4 linked regions of the Struthio camelus genome follow. The protein of the gene in region 1 purifies or fractionates together with the protein of each later gene. This does not show direct contact. Links are inferred from orthologs where the notes say so. Each region holds a gene or a part of one and is shown on either strand. Other genes may lie near its edges. The genes, in order: GIT1, PAK1, GRK2 and ARHGEF6.

Region 1 (7,463 bases):
CGAGCCGAGCCGAGCCGAGCCGAGCCGAGCCGGGCCGCCCCCCCGCCCCGCCCGCGGCCCCACCTGCTTGGCGCTGAGCTCCCGGTCCAGGTCGCGGGCGCGGTTGTGCCAGACGAGGTAGTGGAGCGGGTACCTGCCCTCCGGCCCCTTCCTGCCTGAGCAAGACGCGAGCATCCTCCGTGCATGCTGGAGCGGCGGGCGCGGGGGGCGGCGCGGCGGGGCGCGGCGGGGCGCGGGGCGGAGCGGAGCGGCGCGGAGCGGGGCGCGGGGCGGCGCGGAGCGGGGCGGCGGGCGCGGAGCGGGGCGCGGGGGGCGGCGGGGCGGCGCGCGGGGCGGCGCGGAGCGGGGCGGGCGGCCCGGGGCGGAGCGGGGCGCGGAGCGGAGCGGGGCGCGGAGCGGGGCGGAGCGGGCGGCGGGGGGCGGCGGGGCGGAGCGGGGCGGAGCGCAGCGCGGCGGACCCCCCCCCCCGGCCCGGGCACCCCCCCGCACCCGCCCGGCCTCATGGGACTTGTAGTCCCCCCTGCCCGCGTCACCTTCCTCCTCCTCCTCCTCCTCCCACCGGCATCGCTCCCCGCCCCGGGGCTCCCCCAGCCCCAGACCCGCTGGGACCCCGGGGACCCCCGCTGCCCCCGGCCCCTGCGTGCCATGGGGCCGTGCACAGGTGGCCGCGAAGGGGCACCGCGGTGGCCCCGATCCCCCCAGCAGATCCCCCCCACCCCCAGCTGATTCCTCCCTCCCTTTCCTGCCCCCCCCCCCCCCCCAGTGAGCCAGCGGCTCTTGGCACATGATGGGGGGGCGGCAAGGGCCATGGGACAGGCGGTTGTGCCGGTGGGTGCCAAATGGCCCCCCGCGCCGTGGCCCCCCGGCTCGGCGAAAGGCCAGGCCCGCGGCCCCTGCCCCTGCGTTTCCTTTTCCGCCTGCGTTTCTCCAGGGCGGGAGTCGTGTTTTCCGGCTGCTGCCGGAGAACAATGCGAGGCTGGGCCTTCCCGGCACGGCGCGGCGCGGCGCTCCGGCCTTCCCTGCCAGCGCCCCGCTCCCGGCCCCGGCGCCGTTCCCCTCTGCTGCAGGGGCGCGTGCCCCACGGCCTTCCTGTCCTCCGGGCAGGGACACCTGCCCCGCGGTATTGCCATCCTCCGGGCAGAGACACCCGCTCCACGGCATTCCTGGCCTCTGGGCGTGGATGCCTGCCCCACGGCGTTCCCATTCTCCAGGCAGGGACACCCGCCCCACGGCGTTCCCGTCCTCCGGGCAGGGATGCCTGCCCCACGGCGTGCCCCACGGATGCAGGAAGGGCCCAGAAGGGTCTGCTGCCAGGTGCCCAGCTCCCCAGCCCCCGGCACGGGGCTCCTGGCCCACCCGGCCCGCCGCCACCTTGCCCCCGCTCCTGCTGAGCTGCCCCCCGCCCCCCCCCCCGCCATAGGAACAGCCCCAAGGAATAAATGCAAATTGTTATTATTCTCCGTTGCTGTGGCCGGAACAGCACAGCCGCAGCAGCACAGCCAGCTCCTCCGCTGCGCCAGCCCCGCTGCCTGCTCCCCGGGGCCGGGGTGGCCGGCATCCCCGTGCAGCATCCCCATCCGCCCTGTGCTCCCCGCGGCTTCCGTGCCCTATGACGTCATAAGCCATCTCCACGGCAACCAGCAGTGAGGTCACCCGCGCCGGCCGGGCCACGGAGCCTGCCCCGCGGTGGTGCTGGACGGCAGGATTCGGCCAAGCTGGGGCCGAGCCACCAGCCCCACTTGGGCGCGGGGCGAGGAAGCTGCTCCAGCCCTGGTGCAGCAGGAGATGTTCAGGACACGGCAGCTCGGGGCCCCTCCGGCTGCTCACAGAGGCCTGTTGGGGTTTCGGGAGTGTCCCCCAACTCTGCGAGATTAAAGGATCCCAGAGCAGGGACTGGACCCCAAACAGACTCTGCTCTATCCATCCCCCCCACCCAAATCATTCGTGCGCAGCCCTGTGGTGCAGGGAGCCTGGCCCCATATGGCCCTGCACCGCCCTGGAGAGGTTCATCCATCTCAGAGGTCTCCATGGGTGGGGGCCACCCCCACCTCCGGATGGGGAACCGAGGCCGTTAGCCACGCCGCGGACAGGGGCCAGAGCGCTGCCGACCCTTCCCGGTGTCCTGGCTCCCCTCGGCCCCCAACCAGCCCAGGCACGGGGGACTGCTGGTGCTGGGCCCTGGGGAGGGTGCACAGGGCAGGGGCTATGGCCGGGCCTGGGGTGGGGGACAGGACCAGGGCTGGGGTGCACAGGACTGGGGCCAGGAGCAGGGGGGTGCACAGGACCAGGGCTGACACCAGGACCCAGAGAAGAGGGGTGCCCAGGGCTGGGTGCCCAGGGCCAGGACAAGGACCAGGAGCAGGAGGGTGCCCAGTATTGAGGAAGGGGGTGCTGAGGACCAGAAGCAGGACCAGGGGTGTGCCTAGCACTGCAACCAGGGCCAGGACCAGGATGATGCCCAAGACCTGGGGTACACAGGACCACAACCAAGGCCAGGAGCAGGGGTGTTCATTGAACTGGGGCTCAGACCGGGACCAGGAGCGGGTCCAGGACAGTGCCCAGGAATGGGAGGATGTCAGGCCTGGGGCTGGGGTGCACAGGAACAAGGCCAGGCCTGGGACCAAGAGCAGGAGGGCCTGCAGGACCAGAACCAGGGCTGGGAGCAGGATCAGGAGCAGGTCTGTGATGGTGCCCAGGAGCAGGACAGGGGGATGCACAGAACTGGGACCAGGAGTAGGAGCAGGGCAGGCGGATGCACAGGACCAGAACCAGAACCAGGAGCAGGGCAGGGGGATGCACAGAACCGGGACCAGGAGCAGGAGCGGGAGCAGGGCAGGGGGATGCACAGAACCGGGACCAGGACCAGGAGCGGGAGCAGGGCAGGCGGATGCACAGGACCAGAACCAGAACCAGGAGCAGGGCAGGGGGATGCACAGAACTGGGACCAGGAGCAGGGCAGGGGGATGCACAGAACCAGGACCAGGAGCAGGAGCGGGAGCAGGGCAGGGGGATGCACAGAACCGGGACCAGGAGCAGGGCAGGGGGATGCACAGAACCGGGACCAGGAGCAGGAGCGGGAGCAGGGCAGGGGGATGCACAGAACCGGGACCAGGAGCAGGGCAGGGGGATGCACAGAACCGGGACCAGGAGCAGGAGTGGGAGCAGGGCAGGGGGATGCACAGAACCGGGACCAGGAGCAGGGCAGGGGGATGCACAGAACCGGGACCAGGAGCAGGAGCGGGAGCAGGGCAGGGGGATGCACAGAACCGGGACCAGGAGCAGGGCAGGGGGATGCACAGAACCGGGACCAGGAGCAGGAGTGGGAGCAGGGCAGGGGGATGCACAGAACCGGGACCAGGACCAGGAGCGGGAGCAGGGCAGGCGGATGCACAGGACCAGAACCAGAACCAGGAGCAGGGCAGGGGGATGCACAGAACTGGGACCAGGAGCAGGGCAGGGGGTTGCACAGAACCAGGACCAGGTGCAGGAGCGGGAGCAGGGCAGGGGGATGCACAGAACCGGGACCAGGAGCAGGAGCGGGAGCAGGGCAGGGGGATGCACAGAACCGGGACCAGGAGCAGGAGCGGGAGCAGGGCAGGGGGATGCACAGAACCGGGACCAGGAGCAGGAGCGGGAGCAGGGCAGGGGGATGCACAGAACCGGGACCAGGAGCAGGAGCAGGAGCAGGGCAGGGGGATGCACAGAACCGGGACCAGGAGCAGGAGCGGGAGCAGGGCAGGGGGATGCACAGAACCGGGACCAGGAGCAGGAGCAGGAGCAGGGCAGGGGGATGCACAGAACCGGGACCAGGAGCAGGAGCGGGAGCAGGGCAGGGGGATGCACAGAACCGGGACCAGGAGCAGGAGCGGGAGCAGGGCAGGGGGATGCACAGAACCGGGACCAGGAGCAGGAGCAGGAGCAGGGCAGGGGGATGCACAGAACCGGGACCAGGAGCAGGAGCAGGAGCAGGGCAGGGGGATGCACAGAACCGGGACCAGGAGCAGGAGCGGGAGCAGGGCAGGGGGATGCACAGAACTGGGACCAGGAGCAGGAGCAGCAGCAGCAGCAGGAGCAGGTCCGGGACGGTGCCAAAAGCGGGGGCGCGGTGCGCAGGAGCGGGGCAGCGGTGCCCAGCCGCGGGGTCGGGGGGCGCCCAGGCCCGAGCCCGGCGGCGCAGAGGCCCGCGGCCGGCGGCGGCGGGGGCGCGCGGGCCGGGCCGGGCCGGTGCCGCGGTGCCGGTGCCGGCGGCGGCGGCGGCGGCGGGGGCGGCGGGGCGGGGGCGGCGCTGCCCCTCCCCCGGCGGGGCCGGGCTTGCGCCGCTTCCTGCGGAGCCGCCGGGCGCTGGGAGCAGCCGGCAGCCCCGGCGCGCCGCGGCCCCGGCCCCGGGCCCCTCGCCGCGCCCCGCCGCCGCCGCGCCCCGGCCCGGCCCGGCCCGGCGCCCCCGGCGGGCCCGGCGCCGCCGCCGCCGCCGCACGCTGGCGCAGAGGCCCGGGCCCGGGCCCGCCTCGCCGCTCAGGATGTCCCGGAAGGCGCAGCGGGCGGAGGTGTGCGCCGACTGCAGCGCCCCAGGTAAGGGCCGCGCCGCCGCCGCCGCCGCCGGCCCCGGCCCGCTGCGGCCCCGGCTCGCCGCCGCCGTGAGCCCGCGGTGCAGCCGCGCTGCCGCCCCAGTGAGCCGCCTTGGCACGCCGCGGGGCGCCCCGTGTCCCCCCCCCCGCACCCCCGTGGTGCACCCCGCGCTGCGCCCTCGGCTGCCCCCCCCCCTTTGCATGCCGCGGGGCAGCCTTTTTTCTCCCCGCTGCCCCCCCCCTGCATGCCGCGGGGCACCCCGTCCTCCCCCCCGGTGAGCCCCCCGGTGTGCCCCCGCATCCCCTCTGGTGTGCTCTCAGCGTGCCCCTGCGGAGCCCCTTGGTGCACCCGTGTTGCACCCCAGGAATCTCCCGGTATACCCCTAATGTACCCCCAGTGAGCCCTAACCAGCAAACCCCCCGCCCCCGGAAGGCCCTGCTGCGACCCCAGTGCACCCCAAAGCCCCCCCAGTGCACGACCCCCCCCAGTCCTCTGCACCCCCCGGGCGCGGGGGCTGCTGCTGCAGGCTGGGGACGCACCTGGCCTGCACCAGCAGCACCGGGGACCCTGCAAGTGGCAGCGTGGGGGGACCCCTCCCTCTCCCCCCGGCTTGCCGAGGGGCCCCCCGCTCCTGCCCGACCCCCCGCTCCTGCCTGGCACCCCCAGCCGGCCGGGGCCAGGTTGGGCGACGCCGCGCAGGGCTGCGCCAGGCCCGCGCCGGCCGCGCTGCAAGCCGAAGCCTGAGCCTGGGCAAGACGATTCGCGTCCCCGGCTGCGCCGGTGCCCGGCAGCCCCCGCGCCGGATGCCAGCCCGGTGCTCGGCACGCCGCGCAGCCAGCGGGGAGGGGGCCGGGGCAGCCCCCCGAGCTGCCGCCCGCCGCCGTGCCCGCCGCCGGCCCAGGCGCGTTTCCGCGGCGCGGAGCTAATGAATGAAAAGGGCCGAGCGTCGAGGCTCGCTCCGCTCGGAGCCGGGCCCGGAAAGCTGCCTCCGGGCGAAGGGTGTGCTGGAATTATTCCGGCCGCGTGCCAAGGGCCGGATCCTGCCAGGAGAGCCGCCGGGCGCGCGTGGGAGCCGAGCAGCCCCGCGGGTCGGGGCGCTTCCCTGCGCTGGCAGGCGAGTCCGGGGGACGGGGGCATCGCCGCCAGGCCTGCCGTGCGTCAAGGATTCCTCCCGGCGCAGCGAAATGGGAACCGGTTTCTTCCACTCTCTTATCACCCGGCAGCCAGGGGAGGAAATGAGTTATAAAGTCCAGCGGGGCTGCGTCCCACCGCCCGGCGCGGGGGGAGAGCGCCGCGGGCTGCCCGCCCGGCACGCCGCCGCTTCGCCGCCCGCGCGTCCCCGGATGCCGCCCTCGGCATCGCGCGGGGCGCCGTGCCGGCGTGGTCCCCGCCGGCGCCGGGCGCCTCTCCGGGCCCCGCTGGTGCAGCCCGCCGGCCGGCCAAGCCGAACGCAGGGGCTCCGGGCGGGGGGGGCGGCGGGGACCCTCCCTGGCTCTGCCCGCCGGCGCGGCGGGCCGTTCCCGCAGCGCCCCGCGGGCAGCGCGCGCGGGCACAGATGCGGCCGCGCCGGCTGCCAAGGCTCCGCCATCTGCGCCCGCGGAGCCGCCAGGCCGCCGGCGAGGGCTGTGCACCGCGGCACGGCGCCCCGGCCCCGGGGACCCCCGGCGCCCCGTGGCGGCGGGGGCAGCTCTGCGGCAGCACCCGCCGCGGGCGGAGGGAAGGGGCCCGGCGTGCCGGCGACCCCGGCCGCCCTTTTGCCGGGGCAGGAAGGAAGCGCGGGGCGGGCTGGCTCCATCGCCGCCCGCCAGGCTTCCTCCGCGGGGGTAAGGGGAACGGGTCCTCGTCCCGCTGCGGCCGCGAGAGCGGCCCCGGGGGGCCAGAGGGGCAGCGCCGAGCTGGGCCTGGGCACCCTGCGGGGGCTGCTGCCGGGCGGGAGGGGGGGATGCTCCCGAACTCGCGGCCTCGGCCGCCGCGGGGGCTGCTCCGGAGGCTCCCGCCCGCCGGGGACGCGGTGACCTTGCGCCGGCCGCGTCCTGGCTGCTGCGGGGCGGCCCGGGCGCGCCGAGGGCCCCTTCGCGTCGGCCAGCGCCCGGGCGTCGGGAGCTGCACGTGCGCCCGCCGCCGGGCCCCGAGCGGGCGCCGAAGGGCCGAGGCGGGCAGGGCCCCCCCCCCGTCCGCCGGTGCCAGCTCGGAGCCGGAGCGCCCGGCCGCTCAAACGGCCCTTTGTTCTCGCGCGGATACAAAGGGCTCCAGTCCGGCCGGCCGGGGGGGAAGGGCGGCCCGGCCGGGGAAGGGGCCCGGCGGCGGGCAGGGGGCCGCAGCACCTGCCCCCCCCTCCCCGCCTGCCCCCCGCGCCGGGCCGCTCGCCGGCCGCCCGGGGCCTGCCGGAGCTGCGCACGCCGGAGCTGCAGCTCGGGGCAGCCCTGGTGGGTGCGACTCCCTCCCCCCCCGCCAAAGCCCCTGCTCGGCCCAATCCTGCCCCCCCCCAACCCATTTTGCCATGTTGCTAAGGGAAACCTTCAGGTTTTCCCTAGCGATGGGCTGAGCCCGCAGCGGTAGCTAGGGAAACCTTCGGGTTTCCATGGCAACGGGTCCCCTGCATCCCCCCCCCCCCCCGGCTCTGCCGGCAGTGGGGCAGCGGGGGGCCGGTGGCCGGGGCGGGGAGGGCGCCCTGTGACGCCCCGCGCGCCCCCCGCAGACCCCGGCTGGGCCTCCATCAACCGCGGCGTGCTCATCTGCGACGAGTGCTGCAGCGTGCACCGCAGCCTGGGCCGCCACATCTCCATCGTCAAGCACCTGCGCCACAGCCCCTGGCCCGCCACGCTGCTGCAGGTGGGTGCCGCGGGCCCCCGCCGGCCGCGGGCCCCCCCCCACCCCGCCGCCGCCGCCGCCGCCGT
Region 2 (7,883 bases), on another chromosome or scaffold:
GGTTTTAAGCTATCCATTCCTAAAGAGCATCGCATGCCTTATACTTAGAAGGGAAGAATTGATCACAGTGACTTATGTACTGCTGACAGTCCCCGTTTGGTTGCCACTGAAGTCAATGGAACCAGGCCATTTCCATCTCTGGAAACAAGGTTTCAAAGTAGTATCCCCCCCAGGTGAGAACCAGGTAGAAGCATATGAGAGACAACAAACTGGACCAGTGATTTTCTCCATAAGAACAAGCCCTCGGTATCAAACAGAACATGTGCAAGTTCACCCCAACTCCTATACAGGTCAAGACATCAGGCTGAGAAAATGAGTCCAGTTCCTTGCCAAGCACAGAAAAAGGCTTTTTCATGCAATATGGCTCTGGCACACAATATTCTTTGGGCTTCACACGGATGTGAATGCCAATGAGACATATTCTTGTACCTGTCAAAGGACTAACAACAGACTAGGGTTTGAAGAAACATGACTTGCGCTTTCAGTTGTTTAGTCTCAGTCCATTTCTTGTACCTCCTAACAAAGAGAGGTTGTTTCTCGAAACCTTTACAGTCTGTTTGCTTCTGTTATCATCCGCTGCTGACAGGATGAACTGTAAACCCAGATCGCTTTAAGGGCGGAGCCCTGGATCATTTCTGTATTTTGCTACCTTGAAAAGTCTATTTCAGCTACAGAGGGCTCTGCATACTCTTAGGAATATAAGGGAACTAGGCTGTAACAATTAACTTTTGAAATTAGAAAACTTCCCACAGGTAGGAAGTGAGGCAAGTGCACAGGAGAGAGAAATCCAGATGCAGCTTATTCATATTAAAAGAAAGAATTAGTTAGCAAGCCAGGTGAAAGCCATGCGCTTGTAGTCAGAGCTGAGAGAGAAGATCTGTACAGGCTTAGGAAAAAAATACATAAGAATCAGTAGTAATCACACGGTTCTTTCACCTTTTCGACAAAAAAGTCGGCATCAGTTTTGGACCTAGTGCAAGAAAGGCAGTCAAAAAAAAAAACAACAATAAACAAACAATGCTTTTCCCCTTGCGGATGATGAGCTAAGCTTGTCACACATTTCTTCTAATTTCTTCTTCTCTGAGCAACATCTGAAGTTGCACAGTATTCCCTAAAGCCAGTCAAAGCATTCATGCTGTCATGGTACATGAGCACTTTCCTCTTATTTTTGGCTTTTCCAAAAAGCCCAAAATTTCCAAGTCTAAGAAAGGTAGCTATATCATCCCATTTAAAGAAACTAGTCTCTTCCCATACGACTTGGGAAAGCTAAACACTCACCTAGCTTATCAATCTCTATTTCCAAAGTACAGCATTGTTATACCACACAGGTAAAAACTAGTTCTGTCCCACGATACAAGACAAGAGCGTTTCATAGTTTAAGAGATTCGGTATTAGAACGCATGTAAAGTTCCCCTTTGCTGTCTGTTCTCCCCGCGGAGACGAGCTTTACTTCTCTGACTAATCTGCAGAAAATGCACAGGGAAAGGCAGTTTCTAAGCATCCAGCTGACACGCGCAAGATCTGCTGCACAAAGAGGAGGTTTTTTTCAGCCTTACCCTGAAAAGCCGTGAGCCAGCTTAAGCCACCTACACGCCAGGATGTTAAGAGGAGCAGGCGTGAAGATGCTCCCTACTCTGCCAGGTAGTGTGTGCAACACCAAGAAACTCCAGGTATGGAGAAGGGGGAAGTAGTTTGGCGAAAGGCATCTGTGAGTCACTGTACAAAGAGTAAGTGCAAGCAAAGAGAACAAACACTCTTCCGCCTGTGCCCAGCACACAGCCATTTCAGCAAACTCCAATACCCACTTTCACTTTGAGAAGCTTAAACAAAACTAAACAGCTTTTGCAATTAGTCTTATGCATATAAAATGTACCTATCACTGCATAACACACAAGCCTTACAACGTGTAACAAGCCCCAGCAAAGAGCCAGATTTGGACGTCTATTTATTTATCGGTCTTGTTGCTGAAGAAAAACTCCTGGAGGTAGTGCCTGAGTAAGGATCGAGTAATGCTCAGTGGGAGCAGATGCACCATGACACGCAGACGGACGGAGCCAGCTATTCCCCACAGTCATGAATGTTAAGCCCTCCGGACAACAAAAGCATCAAGAACAGGGACTGCAGGCACAGCAGAGCCGTGGGTTAGGGCATTTCCATGCACGGAGCAAGAAACAAGCCTCAGTGCCCCAAAGGGCTTGTCCTGCTGGCGCTGCCTTTCCTGCAGGCTCCCAGGAACACCCAAGAGCACCCAGAGATGTCCCTTCACAGCCACCCACTTCCCAGGCAGAAGACCCTGCTTTGAGCAGGGGGCTGGACTACAGACCTCCTAAGGTCCCTTTCAACCCGAGTTATCTCATCATCCCAAGTTCAGCTTTCCTTTTAACAGTACTTTAACAGCAAAAAGGCACGATCTGAAGGTAGGGGCGGGGGGGGGGGAAGGGAAGGGAGAGACACACGCCCCCCTCCCCATCCCTGGCCACCGACCACACAAAGCCAGGGGCTCCATCACCCCATCGCCCAGCAAAGGGTCCAGCTCTTCAGTTCTTTGTGTTTGCCTAAAGCACACGCACACACGCACACACATACACGCAGCCCGTCCCCGCTGCCTCCAGGCTGAACCAGGACAGGCTGCCTCCGCTCAGCAGAAAGTCAAGGGCTGAGCCCCGATCGCTCCCTTCCGCCCTTTGCACTGCAACCCTCTGCCCAGGGACCCTAAACCTGCTCTCTCTCTCTTGCAAAGCCTGGGCCCGGGGACAACTCCCTTTGTTAAATGAATGAACCGGGGGGGGGGGGGGGAAGACTGAGTATCTCCCTCCTTCACCCCGCCAAAAAAAAAAAAAAAAAGCCCGGTCTCTCAGCCCCTTTGCAAACTTCCCGGCTACAAACCAGCAAGCGGCGGCGAGGAAATCCCCCTTCTTCCCCAGCCCGGCGGGACTCACCTTCCGCCCGCTGCAAGGTGCCGCCCGGCTCTCCGCCCGCCGCGCCGCCCTCCAGCCGCCCCTATTGTGGGCGCGGCGCCGCCTCCCTTGGCCCTCCCCGCCTTGCCGCGGCCATTGGCTCCGGGGGGGGCGGCCGTGCCGAGAGGGGGAGTAAAAAAAAAAAAAAAAAGGGGATTTGATACCGCAGATGGACAAGTTGTACGGCCAGGAGCACGGGCCTGGTAAGGCGGTGGGCAGGCTGTCTAGATACACCTCTGTAAAACGGCGCAGTGAAACAAGCGGGTACAGCCAGAAGGGAAAGAGGCACAACAGAGCTGCCTTTCAAAGACAGCGCGCCCGCATCGGGCAAGTTAAGAAAACACCGCCGCGGTCTCGCCGTTCTCTCTCGGACCAACGTTTCTCCGTTCTATAAGCTGGTTCAGGAGCTAAATCAAGCAGAAAACTCACTCCACAGACCTGATCGAATGAATGGAGGAAAGCAGAAAGCAAGTGCAGGATGGGTACAGAGCGGGACTGCAAAAGAGCTGGTTTCGATCAGCTTAACCTGTTGCGGAATTGCACGCTTTGATGTACTCACAGCTATTAAATTAAATTTAAAATTTAATTCCGAACCATTCTCACAGATTGCACGAACACAGCTACAGCGCTGCCTGGACATAGCCTGTCATCCGGACACAACATAAAGGTTGTTAATGTCAGTGTATCAGTTACTTCACTACAAAGGCAGCTACCACCAGCCGGTATCAAGAACCCCGCAGTTAACGGGAGTCGGGCGGACGAGACTGCTGCAGGCAGGGAAGCGAGGAGAAAAGCCCACAGCTGAGCTTGCATGTCAGATGCCAAAAAAAAAAAAAGGGGGGGGGGGGCCCACCATCGGCGCTGAAGGCAAAACTGAACGTTATCTTTCAGAGCTTTGCTGAGACCTGAGGATTAACTTCCTCTTGTACCATGCTAGGTCTCAAAAAGCCTCTTAAGAAAAAAATGTGGCTGCTATAAAATGTGGATGGCTGGGAACTAAAAAAAAAAAAAAGAGTTTTGAAACATAGCAAGAGATCAGTCCAAAGCACTCGTAAACAGGCCTTGTCCAACAAGACAGTTTTAAAAATACATTCATTCAACCATTTATCAATAATATCAAGAACAATTGTGTAAGATATTCACAGCAGCTGACTTAAGGCCTGGTCCATATGCATCTGTATCAGCTCGTGGATGGCTCTAACAGCCCCTACTACAACTGTATGTAATACCTGTATAAAAGTACTTAAAGCTGCATGAGATAATATTGTACTTTAATTATAGCTGTTTCTAAGACCAATTAAAGCTGAGAAAAGACTTTATCTATACACAGGTTAACTCAATTCAGAAATTGTTTCAATGAAATCTTTGTAAATTCATCGCCAAGGGACTTCTCCAAAACATCCTGAATTGTACGCTTTTGTTCCATTGCTATTCTATTCTGCAGTAACCTGGAACCCTAAAGAGACACCGTAAAGGGATATTCTGAGATTCTGAGACTCACAGTTTTCTGAATTTAGCCAAATTTCAGCACGCCTTTGTCCCAGTAAATTGTTGGATGTTTCGGACAGAGTTCCCAAACAAAAGGAGGAAGAGGCGCTTGCAACGTCCATGCAGAGCATCAGAATGGGATATAGACCTACTACTGCCGAACAGAATTAGGTGCTTGAGAAAGGAATGAGTGAAACGCAGATCATTTTATTTGCGTTATAAGCACTCAAAGCAGAGAAAGCGCTCAGTTTTTTTTTTTTCCAGGGAAGGCTCCATCTTGCCTTGTACTCAGAATAAATTCTTATGGCCCCTTTCCAGTAAGGGGGGGGGGGAGGGTTATTTTCTTACACCTCAAAAGGGTCTCTTGTGTTCTGTGGGAAGAAGCCTGGCACCAGGCCCTAGCCTCAAAGACCGACTCTGTTAAGCAATTGATTTTAGAGCAATCATTTAAGAACCTCATTTTCCTCCACTTCAGACAGAGTAAAGTGAGCGCTCCAGCTTTGGTGGGGCATACCTTAACGATTTACTCTTTGACAGCAGTATGGGCATTGATGGTTCTTCCCCTGCTGTGTGCCTCTGCTCCTGAGCCACCCCCTGCACTGTGCCAGTACGGCTATTTGTGCAGGTAGATAATGGAAGGGATCAGGGAACTGAGCCATCTGAGATTTTTCCTGGCTGTTTTTCAGCCAGATCAAATCCCCAAATACCAGGGCTGGCACAACGCATGGGGAACAAAAGGGTATGTGAAATCACCAGAAGCTACATCTCAGCTGAGGGACAGTAACTTGCTATGATGTAATAGCTTAGCTACCTGCAATCATCCCTCCACCCCTCTAATCTGCTCTAGCAAATATAGACTAATTGGCCTCAGCCTACATGGAAAAAACTTGAGCTTATGAATGTCTTGAAGAATTATCATATATATGGAGAAAACTGATTACAAGTCTCTAAGTCTTAGTAGTCAGATAAGGATTGGGGGGAAAAAAAAAAAAAACCACACACACACACACAAAATCCTGTAATCACATATCACAGAATCACAGAATCGTTTAGGTTGGATGGGACCTCTGGAGATCATCTAGTCCAACCTCCCTGCTCCAGCAGGGTCACCTAGAGCATATTGCCCAGGATCACATCCAGACGGGTTTTGAATATCTCCAGCGAAGGAGACTCCACTACCTCTCTGAGCAACCTGTTCCAATGCTCCGTCACCCTCACAGGGAAGAAGTTTTTTCTCAGGTTCAGATGGAACTTCCTGTGGTTCAGTTTCTGCCCGTTGCCTCTTGTCCTGTTGCTGGGCACCACGGAGAAGAGGCTGGCCTCATCCTCTTGACACTCCTCTTGACATAATATACACAATTATAAAGTTCCTCTGCCAAAGGGCTCACTGAGAAGACATAGCAATAGCAAGCAAAACTGAAGGCGATAGTGGGTCAACATATTATTGCTTGGAGGTTTCTCACCCAGTAAATCAAAAGTCAGTCCAGCAAAATTAATGTTGTTATAGTGGTGTGAAGCAATGAAGACGACAGACCGTGATTCATCACTGCCCTACATATTGTATAAGCTTGTACGGCTCTGCAGAGTGTACATAAAACACTTCCAAATCAGAACAATCTCCTTTTAAGTCCATTTTGTCTCAAGTGGATTAAAGCAGTGGAAAATGTGTTTCCGGATGCAAATCTGGGAGGCACCATAGTCAATGTTTTCTCTAAATGAACATGCAAAAAAAGCATGTCAGACTGCACAGCAGCAAGAGTCCTTCGATTCCCCAACTAGTTTTAGGGGGTTTCATTGCCAGAAAACCCAAGCAGCAAAATGATGAAAGGGCTGGAACACCTGACTGGTGGTGAACAGCAAGGCCTCATTCCGGTCTTACCTATCGCTATGTTAGGCGGCACATAAAAGCTATTGCAAAGAAAACTAGAACCAGCTCCAAAACATACAAAAGTAGCACATTACGTCTGGAGCATATTTAACATCAACATGCCTTTCTTACCGTCCTGCAGAAATGGTTTAAATCTTGGCCAGTTTACATGAAGGGATTCAACCCAATCCAATTTGCTAAGACTCCCCCACCTCGAATGAGGCTGAGCACAGGGATAAGAACCAGGACTGCCATTCTAGCAAACTAAAACTGCTTTGTTTTAGCAAACCTGCCTTCAAATTACATTTGTTCTATCCTAGTAGCATCTGCAGTTTTGTCAGCTGAAATCAAAAATCCACCTTATGCATTTACTGTTTCTGCAAAACCATTTCTCAGTATTTAGCTATATATTTCAGTTGATTAATTCTGGATAAATGGTTAAAGCATCATACTAGAGATGTTCCCACATACCACTTGGCCCTTCACCTCTTGTATCAAGAAGCTTACAGTAAAGAATCACAGTGTGTGGGGGTAGTGCAGATATTTTAGTAATTACAACCTGGTACAATTTTTGAGGCTTAAATCCCAGATCATTCAGGTGCTCTTTAAGGGTTAGTTTCTTGTTGGTTGAGTTATCTAAAATTGACTGAACACTCAGAGGACTCTCCATGCCATTCCAATTTTAAATGATCTTTTACCGCTTCACTGAAGTCCTGGAATCTGGCAAAACGTCTGGTGATGAATACAGTTTTACATTCCAGAGCTCCTTTAGCCAGGAAATTGCACAGCAACAGCTAAGAGCGCTTAGTACTTTGGTAAGGAGTAAGCAAGTGAGGGTGAACACTAGGGAAGCCACAAGTGACTATCTGATTTGGGATGCCTTATGTATGTATCTCTGGAAGTCATAAAATACAGATGGGTCCATGGCTTAACAATGAGCTCAGTCTTTGATTCATTACCTAAAAGCTGAATCTGAACACATATATCTCAGTTTCGAGGCCTACTACTGATTCAGAGCTTAAAAAGATTGGGGGCGGGGGAGGAGAGTCACTGGTCTTTGCTGTAAGTTTCTGTGGAGCTGCCCTGATCCCTGGTTTTGACAGATTTTATGGCACTCTCTCAGTGAACTGAAGAGTTTTGTTTCTTGAAAAATTATGACTAGCCATTGGTAACCTTAGATAGAAAACATATTCAAATGCATGAGCTTTGAATGCTTTGGGTCAGCACTAATTCACACCAGGATGTGACTGTTTACATTTTAATCCTACAGTTTGCAGGAATCTGTGGAGAGAAATGAGTACCATGATAGCAATTAGATATTAAAGACATTATCAACGTGCTCCAAAATTAAGCATGGCACTCAAGTCAGAATTGCCTCTTCTAATCTCTCAGGTCAGTCTTATCCACGTCTCTCTACATCAGAGCTTCCTCTTACCAACAGTCTAAAAAGCCGATCCCTGTCCCTATTCCTTCCCAGACGTTTCTTGGAACAGCTAGTCCTACTCCCTCCTCTTCTCCCCTTACCCCCATGATCCCAACCTCTATCTGCTTAATTATTCACCTTGTTTTCA
Region 3 (7,920 bases), on another chromosome or scaffold:
GAGGGGTTGGTCTGCGCTTTCCGCCCTCCCCGGCGAGAGCCTGCTCCATCGCTGCGAGGTGGAGAAGGGAGATGTGAGTGTGAGGGTTTCCGCAGTGCCTCAGTACACGGGTGTTTTGCTGCAATGAATCGGGAGGGCTTCGAGTAGAAAATTACCCCGAGACTAAGAGCAAGAGTGCCAGCCCCTCTGCTCGTGGCCGGGCAGCAGAAGCCGCCTGCCTTAGTCTCTCTTGGTGGTGGCTCCTGTGAAAAACAGCCGAAAAATCAAAGTTTTGGTGTTTTTTTTGTTTTTATTTTTTGTTTTTGTTTTTTCTTTTCTTTTTTTTCTCCTTTGGATTGATTTTGAGTTTCACGACAAGAAAGAAGAAAGGTTGGGGCAAAACTTAGCGGGAGCTGGGAGGGCAGCTGGCTTGGGGGCCTGGGCCAGCCCTGGGGCTTCCCAGGCTGGGCGGGCGTTGGGCTTCCTCCGCCAGGAAAGCGAGCGTCTCTATTTACACGCGCATTCGGGGCCGAGCGAAAGCAGCCCCCCACTCTGGGGCAGCACGGGGAGGCAGACGAGGCGAGCTGAGCCGGGGAGGGGCAGGGTGCCCGGGGCAGCCATCCCCCCCCACCCCCCCCTTTGGGGCTTCAGAGACTCGAAATCAAGGTGCGACCCTTGTCACCTAACTGGCCACCCCAGCCCCCTTGGTGGGCGAGGGGTGAAAATTCACAAGGAAAGAAGAAGATAAAAAAGAATTATATATATATAAAAATCACTTAGTGATTTAAAAACAACCCAGACTGCTCCCTAAAGACAACTCCTGCAACAGAAGTCACTATTGTTTAAGGGTTTGGTTGTGTTTTTGTTTCGTTTCGATTCCCCCCCTCCCTCCCCCCCGGAGAAATATTGTAAATATATATTTTTTGTTGGCGATTTAGAGTCCATCTCTGATGTTTGTGCTTTAAAATTAAATGTAAGCATTAAGGGTAAAAGCAAACCAAGTCTTACGCTCTCTCAGTCGGTATGGTTTGGGTTGGGGGGTTTCTTGTCTGAGGGCAGAGGGAGGGGAGCTAGTTGGCTTTTTTTTGTTTTATTTTTCTTTTTTCTTTTTTAAGCATTCTCCGATACTGGTTTTAGAGAGGATCTTTGCTCATAACAGATTACCACAGGGATGGAAGAGATGTTGGGGGGGGAGGGGAGGGAAGATACCAGCCTCTGAAGGGAAATATTTTGTTTCTTGGGGGTGGATTTTTGGAATAAAAATTTAAAGAAAAAAAAATAACCCTGCGTCTCGGTTCTGCCCGTTGTTTGTCTGCGAGTCAGAGGGGAGCGGAGAGGCCGAGGCCTGGGCTGGGCTGGGCTGAGAGGCCGCAGCTTCTGCGGCCGCCCGGCCCTGGGGCTTCCTCTGCCGCGCCGAGCTGGGTGGAGAGGAAGCGCGGGGCTTAGTCACACGCCCGGGCTCCCGTGCGGGAACCCGACGGCGGCGGCGGGGAACGGTCCCCTGCGGCCGCTCGCCCCCCGCCCTGGCGGCGGGTCGAGCCGCGTCCTGGTGCTGCATGCGGCCGCGAGCACCCGCTCGCGTTTGCTTGGCAGCTGGGGCTGGCCCTGCCAGCGCCTTGCACCACAGCTGGCACAGCTCTGTAACCGGCCCTGCTTGGAGCAGGGGTTTATCCCGAAACGCACGGTCAAACTGGCAAAGCAAAGGCACTTCCTGCCTTCCCGGCTGCCGACGGTGCCCCCATTCGACTGCTGGGGACGTCCCGGACCAGCTTGCGGGCTGGAAGAGCTCGCGCTGCGACTGCACCGTAGCGGGATGCCCCCTTGCCTTTGCCTCGGGTTTCTCTTGCTGCTGCTGTCTCCCGTCACCCTTCAAACCCTTTCGAGCCTGCTTTGGGGGCAGCTGGGTCGTTCCCCTCCTTTTTGATATACAAAGGCATTTTGCTTCCACGCGTCGTTTCAAACCGAGGCACGTAAAACGCTGCTGGAGGCAGCCCGGCTGCTCCTCCCGCACAACCGGGGGGTCTCCTCTCGGGCTCAAACCACCAGCCCCAACTTGCCCATTTGGCTATGATACGTATTGTAGCCGATCCTCAGCGCGCCAGCGCCGCCCCGACCTCCTCCGGGGACCCTCCTCCTGCCCGGGGGTCTCGTCCTTCTCCAGAAAAGCATCCTGTTGGAGGGAGCCGGCGTGCCTCCGCGCCCAATTCCCGAGGCTAGCAACCTTCGGGGAGCGCCGAATCCACGGCGCTTGAATCCCGCCTCTCTCGGTCCTCGCCTTCGCGGAGCTGAGGGTCCGGTGGGCGACTCTGCCCCATCTCCAGCAGTTTCCACCGCCGCAGCCCTCCCGGGAGCAGCCCACCCGCCGGGGCGGCCGCGCTGCCGCTGCCAGGTTTGCCTCAGGCCGGCTAAAAGGAAGCGAAACCTCCTCCAGCGTCATTGCTCCCGCCTGCGTGGCTGCGCCCAGGCTTTCGCCTTTGCCGCCCCTCGCGCTGCCCGGGCCTGCGAGGTGGCCTGGCACCTCTGGCCCTCCCCACGCGCCAAACTCCCTAGAAATGAGCTTGTCACAAGGGGTTTTGGGGTTTTGTTTTGTTTTTTTAATTCCCACCCCTCAGCTGGGCTCGGTTTAAAAGCTGGGAGGAAGCCGGGAGCGGAGCTGGAGCAGGGCGGCCCCGCCGGCGGCACAGGTCGTGCAGGGCGGCTGTCTCGGTGTCACACGTGCTGTCACATACACACACGCACGCACACTCACCCCTGTGTGTCTCTCACCACTCTCCCGGTCTCTCTCACGCACCCCCACACACCTGCACACACCCCTGCTGTCACTCTCACACACACACACCACACACATGGCATCTCACTCACACTTGGTGTCTCTCGCACACACACACGCACACACTCAAGTGTCACGCACACACTCACATGGTGTCACACACAGAGACACACACAGTGTGTGAGTTGTGTCACACAAACTCACTCTCTCACACACAAACCCCCACACCCCTGGTGTCTCACAAACACACACAAACACACACGGCGTCTCTCACACACACTCACACGGTGTCTCAAACACACACACCCTTGGAGTAACACACACACACATTCACACACATACACACGGTGTCTCACACACACACACTATCTCACACACCTGGTCTCTCACACACACATTGACACACTCACACACCCCTGCTGTCATGCACACACACTCTCTTACACACACACACACACACTCATGCACGCTCTCTTACACACACACACTCACATACACACACACACTCTCTCTCACACTCTCAGTCTCACACTCACATACACACACTCTCTCACACACTCTCTCACAGTCTCACACTCACACATACTCTCTCACACACTCACACATACTCTCACACACACACTCACACATACTCTCACACACACATTCTCTTGCACTCTCACACACACACACTCACACATACTCTCACACACACGCACTCTCACACTCACACTCTCACACACACTCTTTCACACTCACACACCCTCACACTCTCACACTCACATGCACACTCACACTCTCACACACACACTCACACACACTCAGTCTCACTCACACACATACTCTCACACACATACTCTCACACACACTCACACAAACTCTCACACACACACACAGTCTCACACACACACACTCACACACTCACACTCTCACACACACACTCTCACACACACACACTCACTCTCTCTCACACACTCTCACAGTCTCACACTCACACATACTATCTCACACACTCACACACACTGTCTCACACACACTCTCGCACTCACACTCTCACACTCACACTCTCTCACACACTCACACTCACACATACTCTCTCACACACAGTCTCACACACACACTCTCACACACACACACCCACACACACTCACATACACACTCTCTCTCACACACTCTCACAGTCTCACACTCACACACATACTCTCACACAGTCTCACACACTCACAAACTCTCACACACACACTCACACATACTCTCTCACACTCACAGTCTCACACACACATTCTCTTGCACTCTAACACACACACACACATACTCTCACACACTCTCACACACACTCTCACTCACACACACTCTCACACACACTTTCACACTCACACACCCTCACACACACTCTTTCACACTCACACGCACACTCACACTCTCTCACACTCACACTCTCTCACACACACTCACACTCACACACTCTCACACTCACACTCTCTCACACACACTCACTCTCACACTCTCTCACACTCACACTCTCTCACACTCACACTCTCACACACACTCACACTCTCACACACACAGTCTCACACACACATTCTCTCACACTCTCACACACACACACTCACACGCACACTCACACACTCACACTCTCTCACTCTCACACACACTCACACACTCTCACACTCAAACTCTCTCACACACACTCAGTCTCACACACACATTCTCTCGCACTCTCACACACGCACACTCACACGCACACTCACACGCACACTCACACGCACACGCGCCCCCGCTGTCCGTCCCCCCCCGCCCCCCCGCTCCCTCCCGCGGTCCCGGGCGGCGGCGGCGGCGGAAGGCGGCGGAAGGCGGAAGGCGGAAGGCGGCGGCGGCGGGGCAGGGCCGCCCCGGGCCCCGCCTGCCGCCCGCGCCGCCGCACCGGCACCCGGCCCGCCGGCGCGCTCACGCACCGCGCTCGCGCTCACTCACACTCGCTCGCGCTCACTCACACTCACACTCGCGCTCGCAGCCGCCCGCCCCGCCATGGCCCCGCGCCGCTGAGGGCCGCCCAGGGCCGCCGCCGCCGCCGCCGGGGGCCTCGCCGCTGAGGGCCGCGCCGCCCCGCCGCCCCGGGCCGCCCCCCGCCCGCCGCCAGGGCCGGGCCGAGCCGGGCCGGGCCAGGCCGCCCGCGGGGCCGGGCCGGGTCGGCGGCGGCGGCGGCGGGGCGGGGGCCGCGGCAAGATGGCGGACCTGGAGGCGGTGCTGGCCGACGTGAGCTACCTGATGGCCATGGAGAAGAGCAAGGCCACGCCGGCCGCCCGCGCCAGCAAGAAGATCCTGCTGCCCGAGCCCAGGTGAGGCCACCGGGCCCGGCGCGGCCGGGGCGCCCCACGCGCGTCCGAGCAGGGCGGGCAGGTGCCAGCGGGGCCCGGGCGCCGGCCTGCCCTGGCGCGGGCAAGCGGGGCTGGTGGGCAGGCGCGCCCCGGCCTGTGCAAGTGCAGCTGCGTGTGCAAGAGTGCCCTGGCGTGTGCAGGCAGGGCTGGTGGGCAAGAGTGCCCTGGTGCGTGCAAGAGTGCCCTGGCGTGTGCAGGCAGTTCTGGTGGGCAAGAGTGCCCTGGTGCGTGCAAGAGTGCCCTGGCGTGTGCAGGCAGGGCTGGCCTGCAAGAGTGCCCTGGTGTGTGCAGGCAGGGCTGGTGGGCAAGCGTGCCCTGGTGCGCACAAGAGTGCCCTGGCATGTGCAAGCAGGGCTGGCCTGCAAGAGTGCCCTGGTGCACGCAAGAGTGCCCTGGCGTGTGCAATCAGGACTGGTGGGCAAGCAGGGCTGGTGGGCAAGTGTGCCCCGGCCTGTGCAAGCGCAGCTGGCGTGTGCAAGTGTCCTGGCGTGCCCAGGCAGGGCTGGCTTGCAAGCGTGCCCTGGTGTGTGCAAGAGTGCCCTGGTGCGTGTAAGCTGGCCTGGCCTGTAAGCGTGCTCTGGTGCATGCACGCGTGCCCTAGTGCATGCACGCGTGCCCTGGTGTATGCAAGCAGAGCTGGCCTGCAACTGTGGCCCTGGTGTGTGTAAGGTGACCTGGCCTGCAAGCGTGCCCTGGTGCATGCAAGCAGGGCTGGCCTGCACAAGTGCGGCCCAGCGCAGAAGGCGTGTGGCATGGGCAAGCGGGGCTGGCCCAAGCAGACAGTGCACAGTGTGCACAAGCAGGGCCTGGCACGTGCAAGTGTGGCACAGGGTGTGCAGGCAGCATGCCACCCCTGCAAGCGCAGCCTGTGCAGGCAGGGCCTGGCGCATGCAAGCAGGCTGCAGCGTGTGCAAGTGTGGCGCAGCGCGTGCAAGCATGGCCTGGCACATGCAAGCAGAGCCCAGCGCGCGGGGACAGTATGCACCAGGGCAGCAAGGCACACACGAGTGTGGCAGAGCACACGCTGGCATTGTGCAAGCAGGGCTCCTCATGCGAGGGTGTCACAGCATGTGCAAGGGTGTCCTGGTGTGTGCGAGCTCAGTGCGGCATGTGCAAGCCTGAGCTTGGCGCGGTACGTGCGAGCGGGGCCCAGCGCCGGTGGGGCGAGGGAGACGGGGCGCGGGGCGCCGGTCTGCGCTGCCGCAGCCTGTCTGGCCCCCAGACTTTCCTGCTCCTGCAGTTCCCCTTTCTGTCCTCGCCGTGCACGGGCACGGCTGCACCGTCCGCGCGCCCGCACAGGCGCGCATGCTGGCACACCTCTCTGGTACACATCTTCTGGGTACACACCTCTCCTGTGCACACACAGACGCACCTCTCCGGTATGCATCCTTCCGGGTACACACCTCTCCTGCGCACACACAGACACACCTCTCTGGTACGCATCCTCCCAGGCACGCACATGTGTACACACACAGGTGCAGCTGGGGGCACGCACATGCGTGTGCTCACACCTGTGCTCCCACACAAGCACCACCTGAGCACACCTGCACGCGTGTAAGCACACCCACGCTCACACCTTCTGCACACGTGCACACACCCTGCCTCCTTCCGGGCACATCCACATAAGCACACTCACCTCTTGCACACAAAAACACATGTGCATGTGCATGTGCAATGTCACTCAGCCGTGCATGCGTGTGCATGCCCCTCTTGCTCATACACCCAAACACACTGTCCCAACACACGTGTCCCTGGCCAGACATGCAAACTGCAGCGCCTGGACGCACGCATACAGTCCTGGAGCCTTGCATCTCCTGAACAAGCATGTACTTGTGCACATGCACACACACGTGCACACCTGTGCAGAGTGCACCAGGGCTGGGCTGCACACACATGCATGCACATACACACTTGCACACACACACACACAGAGTGCACAGCCGGTGCACGTGCAGACTCACACGTTGGTTCTGCTGAAACACTTCCCCAGCCCCCTGTCCTTCACACGCACGCAGAGTTGTGATGCTCTCTGCTGTGCACACCGCCCCCGCACGCGTGTCGATCTCACACACACACACACCCCACTTCTGCCCACACAACCCGCTTTGCAACTTCCCTTCTCACGCCCGGCCTGCCCAGGCACCGGCGCCCAGCCGGGCAGGCGCACACAGCCATGCACAGCCTGGCGCGCGCCACATGCACGGCCCGGCCGGCAGCAAAGCCCAGCGTGCGGGGCGTCGGGCGCACGCATCCCGCGCAGCACAGTGCACAGCCTGCTGTGCGTGGCAGCCCAATGTCCCAGCCCGCCACGCTCCCGCTGCTGGGCCCCGCTTTCCCTCCGGCGTTCGCAGACCCGGGTGTCCTGGGCCGACCGTGGCGCCCGTGCCTGGCGTTCAGCTCCCACCCTGCAGCCCTGCCTGCCTCAGTTTCCCTGGGGAGGTGGAGGGGGCCTCTGCTGGGCCCTCGGATGCCTGGGCCCCTCTTCCCTGGCCCTCCCTGCGTGGGGCACCCTGTGGCTACCCCTTACCAAGGCCCAGCAGGGTGTCATGGCGGGGACAGAACAGGGGTCAGGTGCACCGGGGTCCCTGGGGACAAGCGTGCAGGTGGGGTGGCCGGCGAGGGGATGTATCCTGCCCCTGGAGCCGTGGGAGATGCCCTGGGGGGACGGGGGCACGGGAGACGCAGCAGGGGCCTGGGGTGGGGGCAGGACTGAGCCCATCTGGCGTCTCCCCAGCATCCGCAGCGTCATGCAGAAGTACCTGGAGGACCGGGGGGAGGTGACCTTCGACAAGATCTTTGCGCAGAAGATCGGTG
Region 4 (7,320 bases), on another chromosome or scaffold:
TTCACTTGGTGCTCTAATATGACTGTTACTAATATTTCTGGTACCATGAAAAAACAATGAGAAATTATTTTCATTTGGCTGCAAAATTTAAATGCAAGCTTGAGAGATTTGAGCTTTTATTTAGCTTTAGAGGTCTACTTTCGATTTGAGCTTTTATTTAGCTTTAGAGAACTGAGAAGGGGCAATCACGTGCACTATGAAAGTAACTGAAGGCTCAGAGTATTTCAACGATTACGGGGCTTATAAATCAGAAAAACAAAAATTTGGAACTCTTTTCTTAAAATAAAACCAAGAAAGAAAAGGAACAAGTACGATCAGAGCTGCATCCAGGGCTGGATGCAAAATATTGCCCATCCCTAGTATTTGAAAATTGTGAAGTGGGGCTGCAGTATTTCAGGACCAGATTAAAAATTATGAGATTTTAAAGCGTGACAGAGTTCAAGACTGTTCCCTTGACTTGTATTTTTGCAGTTTGATTCCTATTTTTAGTGTTTTCCACCACAACAATTATGACTAGATCTATTTTTTAAATAGAAAAATAATCTCTCTGAAAAACTGAAAAAAAATCACATGGTCAAGTACCAGAAGACTGGCAACACTGATTTCTGATCTGATAGCCCTTCAGTGATTCTATATGTGTCTGCTCTTAAAACTAGGCTGCTGCAGTAGGCTTTTAGCAATGGATTAGTGGGAAACAACAGGCTAGTTAAACACTTCTGGAATGAAGGAATTTTCATGCCGGCTAGCTAAAAAGAGAAGAGTGTCTCTTTTTGCTTGTTTAGACCTCCAAAGGAAAAGCACAGCAACAGGGCTGCCATGGGTTCGACCCTCTCTCACTGTGGTGCATAATTTTCTGTAATGCCCAAGGATGCTGTTCCCTACTTCTAGCGGAATTTATCTTCAGAATATATATATATATTTTTTGTAATGTGGATAAAACTTCAAACAAGTTAGTGACAGCTCTTAGATACAGGGTCCTTTTTACTGTAGAAATTTAAGGGTTATATCAAAGTTTTTAAAAACATTTTAAATGCATGTGCATTTGTAAAAATATAACGGCAAAATTATCTGAACTCTTAAGTGATGCATTTGGACTCTGTTCTTGTAAATACGAACGATGATTAGGCATAAGAATCATACAGCACCAGGAATAGCCACTGAAAAGTTATCTTTTGTCTACAATAGGATTATTTGTATGTATAAGGACCACTTCATATGACGTATTTGGCAGAATCTCTCTCAGTGCTTGCAAATGGATAAAAATACTGCAGTATTAAGAATATTTCACCTTTATACTAAAGCAAGGCTAAAAATGGCAAGCCCTTGTGGGGGAGGGAAAAAAAAAAAAAAAAAAACCAAAGCGGTCAACACAGCTCAACTGTGTTTAGACAGAATTTCTGTTATCGCTGTGTATATTTCTATGTGACTGTTTAGATTCCTCTCAAAGTCTTGAAGGAATCTGTTAAGCTCACAGTCAAAACACTCCATTTCCAAATTCTCCAGCCACAATATTACATTACCCACATTCTTATTCACGTTCCCGATACAAAAGATTAGGAATGACTACCTGCCCCTCTGGTATTTGGCTTCCTTTTAGAATATATATTAAACAAGCACATTATGAGAACAAAATAATGTGAAGGATACTAGTTGACTTACCTCCACTTTAAAAACTGCACAGCCTTTTAGGAACTCTTGAATATTACTGATGCAATCAGCTTCATTTTTAGGCTCCAGACAATACTAAAGAAATAAAATCCACCAAGATCACTATGTTACCTTCTGCACAGCCTCTATTCAGAAGGCCTGCATGAATATTGACATGTGCGTTTTATATTGAATTAGGGAAGCTTCTTAAGGGGGCGGATGGGGGTGGCAGGCAAGCTGTCGAACCAGGAAGAAAGAGCCACCGGAGGAAGTGATGCATAAATCGAAATGGTCGGCATCTTGTTTTGAATGTCAACATACGACAGTGCCCTAAAGCGATAGTGGGAAACTGATGACCTTTAAGAATGCACTGCCCCAAACCATCATATATAAACAAGAGATAAGTAGCTAACAAAAGTGATTTTTGCTTTTTAAACAAAGGCACCTATTTTACAGGGTGGGGACGAACCTGCTTCTTCCTTTAATTAAAACAGATTCTCTTCTGTGCTGCCATTTCCTATCTCTCATCACACTCCTTCCCCTTTTTTCCCCACAGTTACTTATCACTGTTTTGGACTGCACACACATATGCCTAGCAAAACCCTAATACAAGGTTCTCAGATGGCTTAAACTGCTTCAACATAAACGTATTTGCTTGACTTGAAACAGTTCAAAATGGCACGGATGCAAGGTTCATTTACTTCTAGCCTCATCTTGCTCTCCCCAATGTACTTCCTGAATAGCAAGGTATTTTACAGTGACAGTTCCAAACTATATTTACTTCTATAGAGACAAACCACACATCCATCTGTTCAAAAATAAGGTGTTTTTTGACTTTTGGTAGGCCTAGTATTTCCTCTGCCGCTGAAAGGAACACCTAAGTCGCCAAACTACAACCTTCTGGGTTTTTGTGGATGTTAAAGAGAGAAAATCAAAAACCGAAAGCTAGGATCCTACTTTACCCTAAGTTAGATTTAACTAGTAACTTAAACATGTTGATCTTGCTGATCTTCCTCACTCATGCTACCTACCAAAGAAAACCATATCCTATAATAAGCAGTGCACTATTTCACCAAACAGCGCTCTAACTTCAGGCTAGTGAAACGTATCTAAAAAGTTACCTTTTCTGCAGATCCTGGAAGAAGGCGATTAATGAGTCTACAAAGCACTATTCCATCTTTCAGAGAAGTTTTCAGGAACTCCTCTGGATCCTCTACTATTTTCTTGGGAGAATTCAAAACTCCTAATGAAATAAGCCATGTTACAATTTGCTCTTCTGGATTCATTGCTGAGAGTTCTGCCTTCACTGCACTTCTGTGCAACAACTCGCTCTAACCCACATCCGTGATTACATCTTCCTGCCTCTTCTGGCGCGTGCAGGGCTTAAGAGTGAAACGACTTTTTTTCACTGGGCACTGAAACTCACTGAATTTTAAGAACCAGAACTATAGTTACTCTAAGGTAGGAAACGTCCTTGTACAATGGTTTACAGAACTCTGTTACTTCAAAGGGATATAGTGAAAGCATACCTACTACACATTTTCAGCATTTCTGAAAACAGAAGTATTCTGTGCAGATACTTATATTGTACCAAGGTCTTACCTAGTTACTTTCTCCTTGTGACAGATGTCATTCTACAACCTGGTAAGCTTGGTCTTGTGGCTATTGTTCAACAAAGTAAAGGTCAGTATTTCCTAGTGCACTGCAATATTTACAGTATTAAAATTGTATGTTACACTACAGATGATTTGGGGGGAAACATGCCATGCAAGCTTTTAAATAAAATTTAATTTTTAACTTTCTGAGGTAAAGTCTTCATTTTAAATCACTGCCATTTTACAACAGTTTTCCATTTGCAAAATCTGATTATGATTCTAATCACGCATTTGTCAAAATCTCATTTTTTTCCTCAACTATTTTATACAAGAAATAAACATATAATCCAAAATGTTCTTTTGCAAGATTACCATCTGTCAAAGCAAACATCTTGGGTAACTGTGAAAACTTCATAAACCAAATTTAAGTCTTTTTTTATATGAAGCAGAGAATGAAAATTTCCAACTATTTTACTTGTCCCATTAAAGCGTCCCTTTCTACAAGCTCTCTACAGGATCTACTGCATGAGGATAGAGTCGTTTTAGGAATTTTTTACCCTGCTCTAGGGTAATATTAGCCAGCACTACTGGTGATGTTAATTTAGTAGAGTCCAGTCATCTCACAGTTTTCCAACTGTCCTTTCACCAACAGACAGAAAACTACCATTTTCTAACCAACTCATGACTCCTAAGAAGTTAACTAGAGCAACAGGGATAGAAAGCAATGAAACAGGAAGAAGTAACTATCCTAGAGACCAAAAATTCTCTGACAATGTTCTAAATGATAAATCAATTCCTGAGCCTGTTGCTTGAAGCAGCTGGTTTCAAGACATCAGCTCTCTTGAATCGCTGAGGCTTATAATTTGAGGTGTAGGGAGAAAGAGAAGAGCAAAAGGAAAAAACTACATGCAAGGTATGTGTTGTTTTGTGTCCCCACTTTCCAGGTCCTACGACTGGGACATACCTAAGGATCATTTTTAATAGCTAGTAGTAAGAATTCAGAACTGCCCTTTTAGGTTTAGAGATTTTTGGCCACAGGATGTTGGGATGAATTCTGTTTTATATGAAAATACTAGTAACACTAGCAGCTGCCAGAGTGAATGGTTAACACTGACTGAAGCTAAATCACAAAACTCACTGCCATCTGGTAAAGTTCATCTATAGCTATCCGTATGTGCAGAAAAATTTACTTGAAATTTATAATTAGAGACCCTCAAAACAGTAGGCTTTTTTAAAGTTCTCATGAGCAGTACTATTTTGTTTGTGGAAGTGCATACTTGCACTCTCCACTTTCAGAGCTTGCCTTTTCTCAAATCTATAGTAGGCAAGATAATTGGCAATGCTCATTCATATACTGTGGCCCACCATTCTCAAATGGAAGACATCCACTCCAGTATTCTTGATTAGAATCCACCGGCTTCTGATGTAGAGCACGAGAAGTACTTCAAGGAAGGGAAAAATCCACACCTGCTTCATTAAACGCGGTACTACAAACCTGAACGCCAAAGAATACTTTGCTCATTCCCCCCTCCAAAACAAGTATCTAACCTTTCATTTTTTGGCAGACAGTCTTAAGAGTTCCATGCCTGTTCTGCATCCATCAGTTGCAACTATGATTAAATGAAAATACCTCTGACGTGCTGGACACGTACCAACAGCTCGAAAGACTGACCCAGAGCCATTTGCTCTCTCACACATTCAGAAAGCCCCCAAAACATATGGTACTCTAACTACTTTGAGGCCAACTTTTACATCTTTCAGAACATCAGGATCCCACTGAAAATGTACCGATGTTTTCACCTCTTCTCACTGGTGAAGTAATTCTGTGGCAGAACCACGGGTATCGAGGTAGATCCACAAAGTGAGGAACAGTTTCTTGTTTGGTCTTTCTTTGGAAAAGTTATCATCTCTGATCTCAACATTAGCTATCTGCTGACAGGGACAAATCAAACGAACTGTCAATCTTCTCATGCAGAGTCAACCTTCACCCCTAAGTTACCAATAAACTTCTATTGCAGTCTGATTCAGACAATGACTGATAATGACGATAGTATTAGCTTTAGAAAAGCATGTTGGTCTACAATCTCCTTTTAAACTAGAGACTTTCAAGAACGTAATTTGAGTCAGCGCATAAGCTAATGGGAATGCAGCACCAACATGATCTATTTACCATGTTAGGCAGACGTAATTTTTGTTCATACAGTAGCTCGTGTGCTGGGATTGTATTTTAGGCAGCCGCAGCCAGACGATAAACTACGGCTAAAAAGGCGTCTTTTAATAGCACAGCATATCACCATTCTTGAAGAAATGAGGTGCATTCTCTAAGACCTCTTCATAACAATAAACTTCCATTACTGTATAATAATGGTAACTATTTCCACCACGTACGTGTAGCTAAGAAGCAAGGAGTTCCTTAAACAAGCTAATAATGCTTTTGTTTAACAGTAAGTTTATTAGCCCTGGAAAATAATGCAATTCTGTCCATCGCCTTGCTACATACAGGAAGACGCACTCCCTAGAGTTTGCAGTCCATAACTGAAGCTCAAAGTGAGAGTCTTACCCCAAACCCAAAGGCAGTTTTAAATTCTTTCAGTAAGAAATGCATGTTTTCTTTTTAAGCTAATCCTTATAGACTAGGTGTTGTTTAAATAAAATCAGTTTATGTCTACAGTACAAGAAGTCAATATAAACTTTATTAGCCATGACTGTGTAAAGATTTCCATCAATCTGTAGTTAGCTTTATGAAAAAATGATGACTGAGGATTACTCTCGTATACATTGGCACATCAACACTTATGAGGGTATGAATGCACCAAAACCTAGGTAAATTAAGAAAACATCTTGTTTCTATAGAACGGCACATGTATAAGTAGTAGTAACGCTGGCTGGAGTTTTTCTGAATACTATTCTGGGGATTTATCACAAATATGGTTTTATCAGCACTTCCTTCCTCCCATCAAAAAGGCTTGAACAGTTATACCACTGTTAATGTAAAAATGTCATACAACTTTTATCGGTCTCTTTCTTTGTGAAGGACACCCTTTTCCTCTGCATTTTGGAGGGCTCAAACTCACTTTTATGAAACTTGCTCCTTTTTTAGCACACAACAAAAGCACCCTATGTGAAGAGCACCGCTGGAATGTTCTTCTGCTGCACAATCCACTGATGCATGTATACTGACTAAAAAAAAAGGGCTTACTACTTAGAAGAGGTTAGCTGCAGAAACAGCAACTGGTTTCCACTTATCTGAGAGCTTACATCCAAGAGATAAGTAGCACTACTTTCAGATGCAATTCCTGAATGAAACACAGCCCTCTAAAACAAATACTGGTCAACATCGTACTCAAAGCCCAAGTTTTATCTGTTGTATTTTGTTATCCTTCGATTTTCCAACACATCTCCACTGCTCCAGTGCCTTCTTCCAGTCCCCATAACTGAAAAGAGGAAAGTCAAGTTAGTACACTCTCAGAAACCAGCAGACAGACAAAAAGGCTAAATAATCTTTGAGTTGATCAATGTATTTATACATGCACAATGCAGACATTTGGGTTGTTTTCAATTTGTGCCAAGGGTATGAAAATACATCAGTACTTAACTACAACAATCGAAACAGTCTGAGGTCTACCTGTATTCCTATTGTACAACAGCATCTCCGGGGGGAGCACCAAGTAATTCCAGGGTACATCCCTTCAAAACTGCCACCACAAAATCCCACTGGCTCTCCCATAATAAACTGGTATGCACATACGCACATCTGTAAATAACGTTGTGGTGTGAACTGAATTAAAAACGCAATTATTATTGCTATCAACTTAGGATCAAGAAAAGGCAAATAGCTTGCTGAATTAGTACAACTACATCCTTATTTTTAGTAAGACAGTATTAGCTTTCCTGCCATGCAGTCCGTTAAGTACTATCTACCACTCCTTAAACTAACATTGTCACCTTTCCTGTTAGAAAATTTAGTAAGGTTTATAAGCTGCAAAGTAGGCTAAAGAAGTGTAATTTTATCTTGAATATCTTTATTAATTACAACACGGTCCACTAAGTACTAATCCATAGTAAAACAAATCTAATA

What was found.
Region 2: the proteins of GIT1 (region 1) and PAK1 purify together in Homo sapiens (affinity purification with mass spectrometry; 6 studies listed by BioGRID and IntAct, with this or other methods). This does not show direct contact. The link is inferred for Struthio camelus from reciprocal best matches to the Homo sapiens genes GIT1 and PAK1.
Region 3: the proteins of GIT1 (region 1) and GRK2 purify together in Homo sapiens (affinity purification with western blotting; 4 studies listed by BioGRID and IntAct, with this or other methods). This does not show direct contact. The link is inferred for Struthio camelus from reciprocal best matches to the Homo sapiens genes GIT1 and GRK2.
Region 4: the proteins of GIT1 (region 1) and ARHGEF6 purify together in Homo sapiens (affinity purification with mass spectrometry; 3 studies listed by BioGRID and IntAct, counting the BioPlex papers as one, with this or other methods). This does not show direct contact. The link is inferred for Struthio camelus from reciprocal best matches to the Homo sapiens genes GIT1 and ARHGEF6.

The regions. Positions count from the first base shown.
Region 1 is NC_090957.1:16,988,730-16,996,192, reverse strand, and holds the start of GIT1 (ARF GTPase-activating protein GIT1), read left to right. Parts: upstream 1-4,450; 5' UTR 4,451-4,517; coding exon 4,518-4,569; intron 4,570-7,264; coding exon 7,265-7,398; intron 7,399-7,463. Other genes in the region: ANKRD13B (ankyrin repeat domain-containing protein 13B), read right to left, coding at 64-185. UniProt on the Homo sapiens protein: GTPase-activating protein for ADP ribosylation factor family members, including ARF1.
Region 2 is NC_090942.1:220,589,039-220,596,921, reverse strand, and holds the start of PAK1 (serine/threonine-protein kinase PAK 1), read right to left. Parts: upstream 3,008-7,883; 5' UTR 2,940-3,007; exon of another isoform or gene 2,887-2,939; intron 1,673-2,886; exon of another isoform or gene 1,557-1,672; intron 1-1,556. UniProt on the Homo sapiens protein: Protein kinase involved in intracellular signaling pathways downstream of integrins and receptor-type kinases that plays an important role in cytoskeleton dynamics, in cell adhesion, migration, proliferation, apoptosis, mitosis, and in vesicle-mediated transport processes.
Region 3 is NC_090946.1:3,108,005-3,115,924, forward strand, and holds the start of GRK2 (beta-adrenergic receptor kinase 1), read left to right. Parts: upstream 1-4,908; 5' UTR 4,909-4,954; coding exon 4,955-5,067; intron 5,068-7,840; coding exon 7,841-7,917; intron 7,918-7,920. UniProt on the Homo sapiens protein: Specifically phosphorylates the agonist-occupied form of the beta-adrenergic and closely related receptors, probably inducing a desensitization of them. Key regulator of LPAR1 signaling.
Region 4 is NC_090952.1:22,989,506-22,996,825, reverse strand, and holds the start of ARHGEF6 (rho guanine nucleotide exchange factor 6), read right to left. Parts: upstream 3,003-7,320; 5' UTR 2,934-3,002; coding exon 2,769-2,933; intron 1,799-2,768; exon of another isoform or gene 1,744-1,798; coding exon 1,660-1,743; intron 1-1,659. UniProt on the Homo sapiens protein: Acts as a RAC1 guanine nucleotide exchange factor (GEF).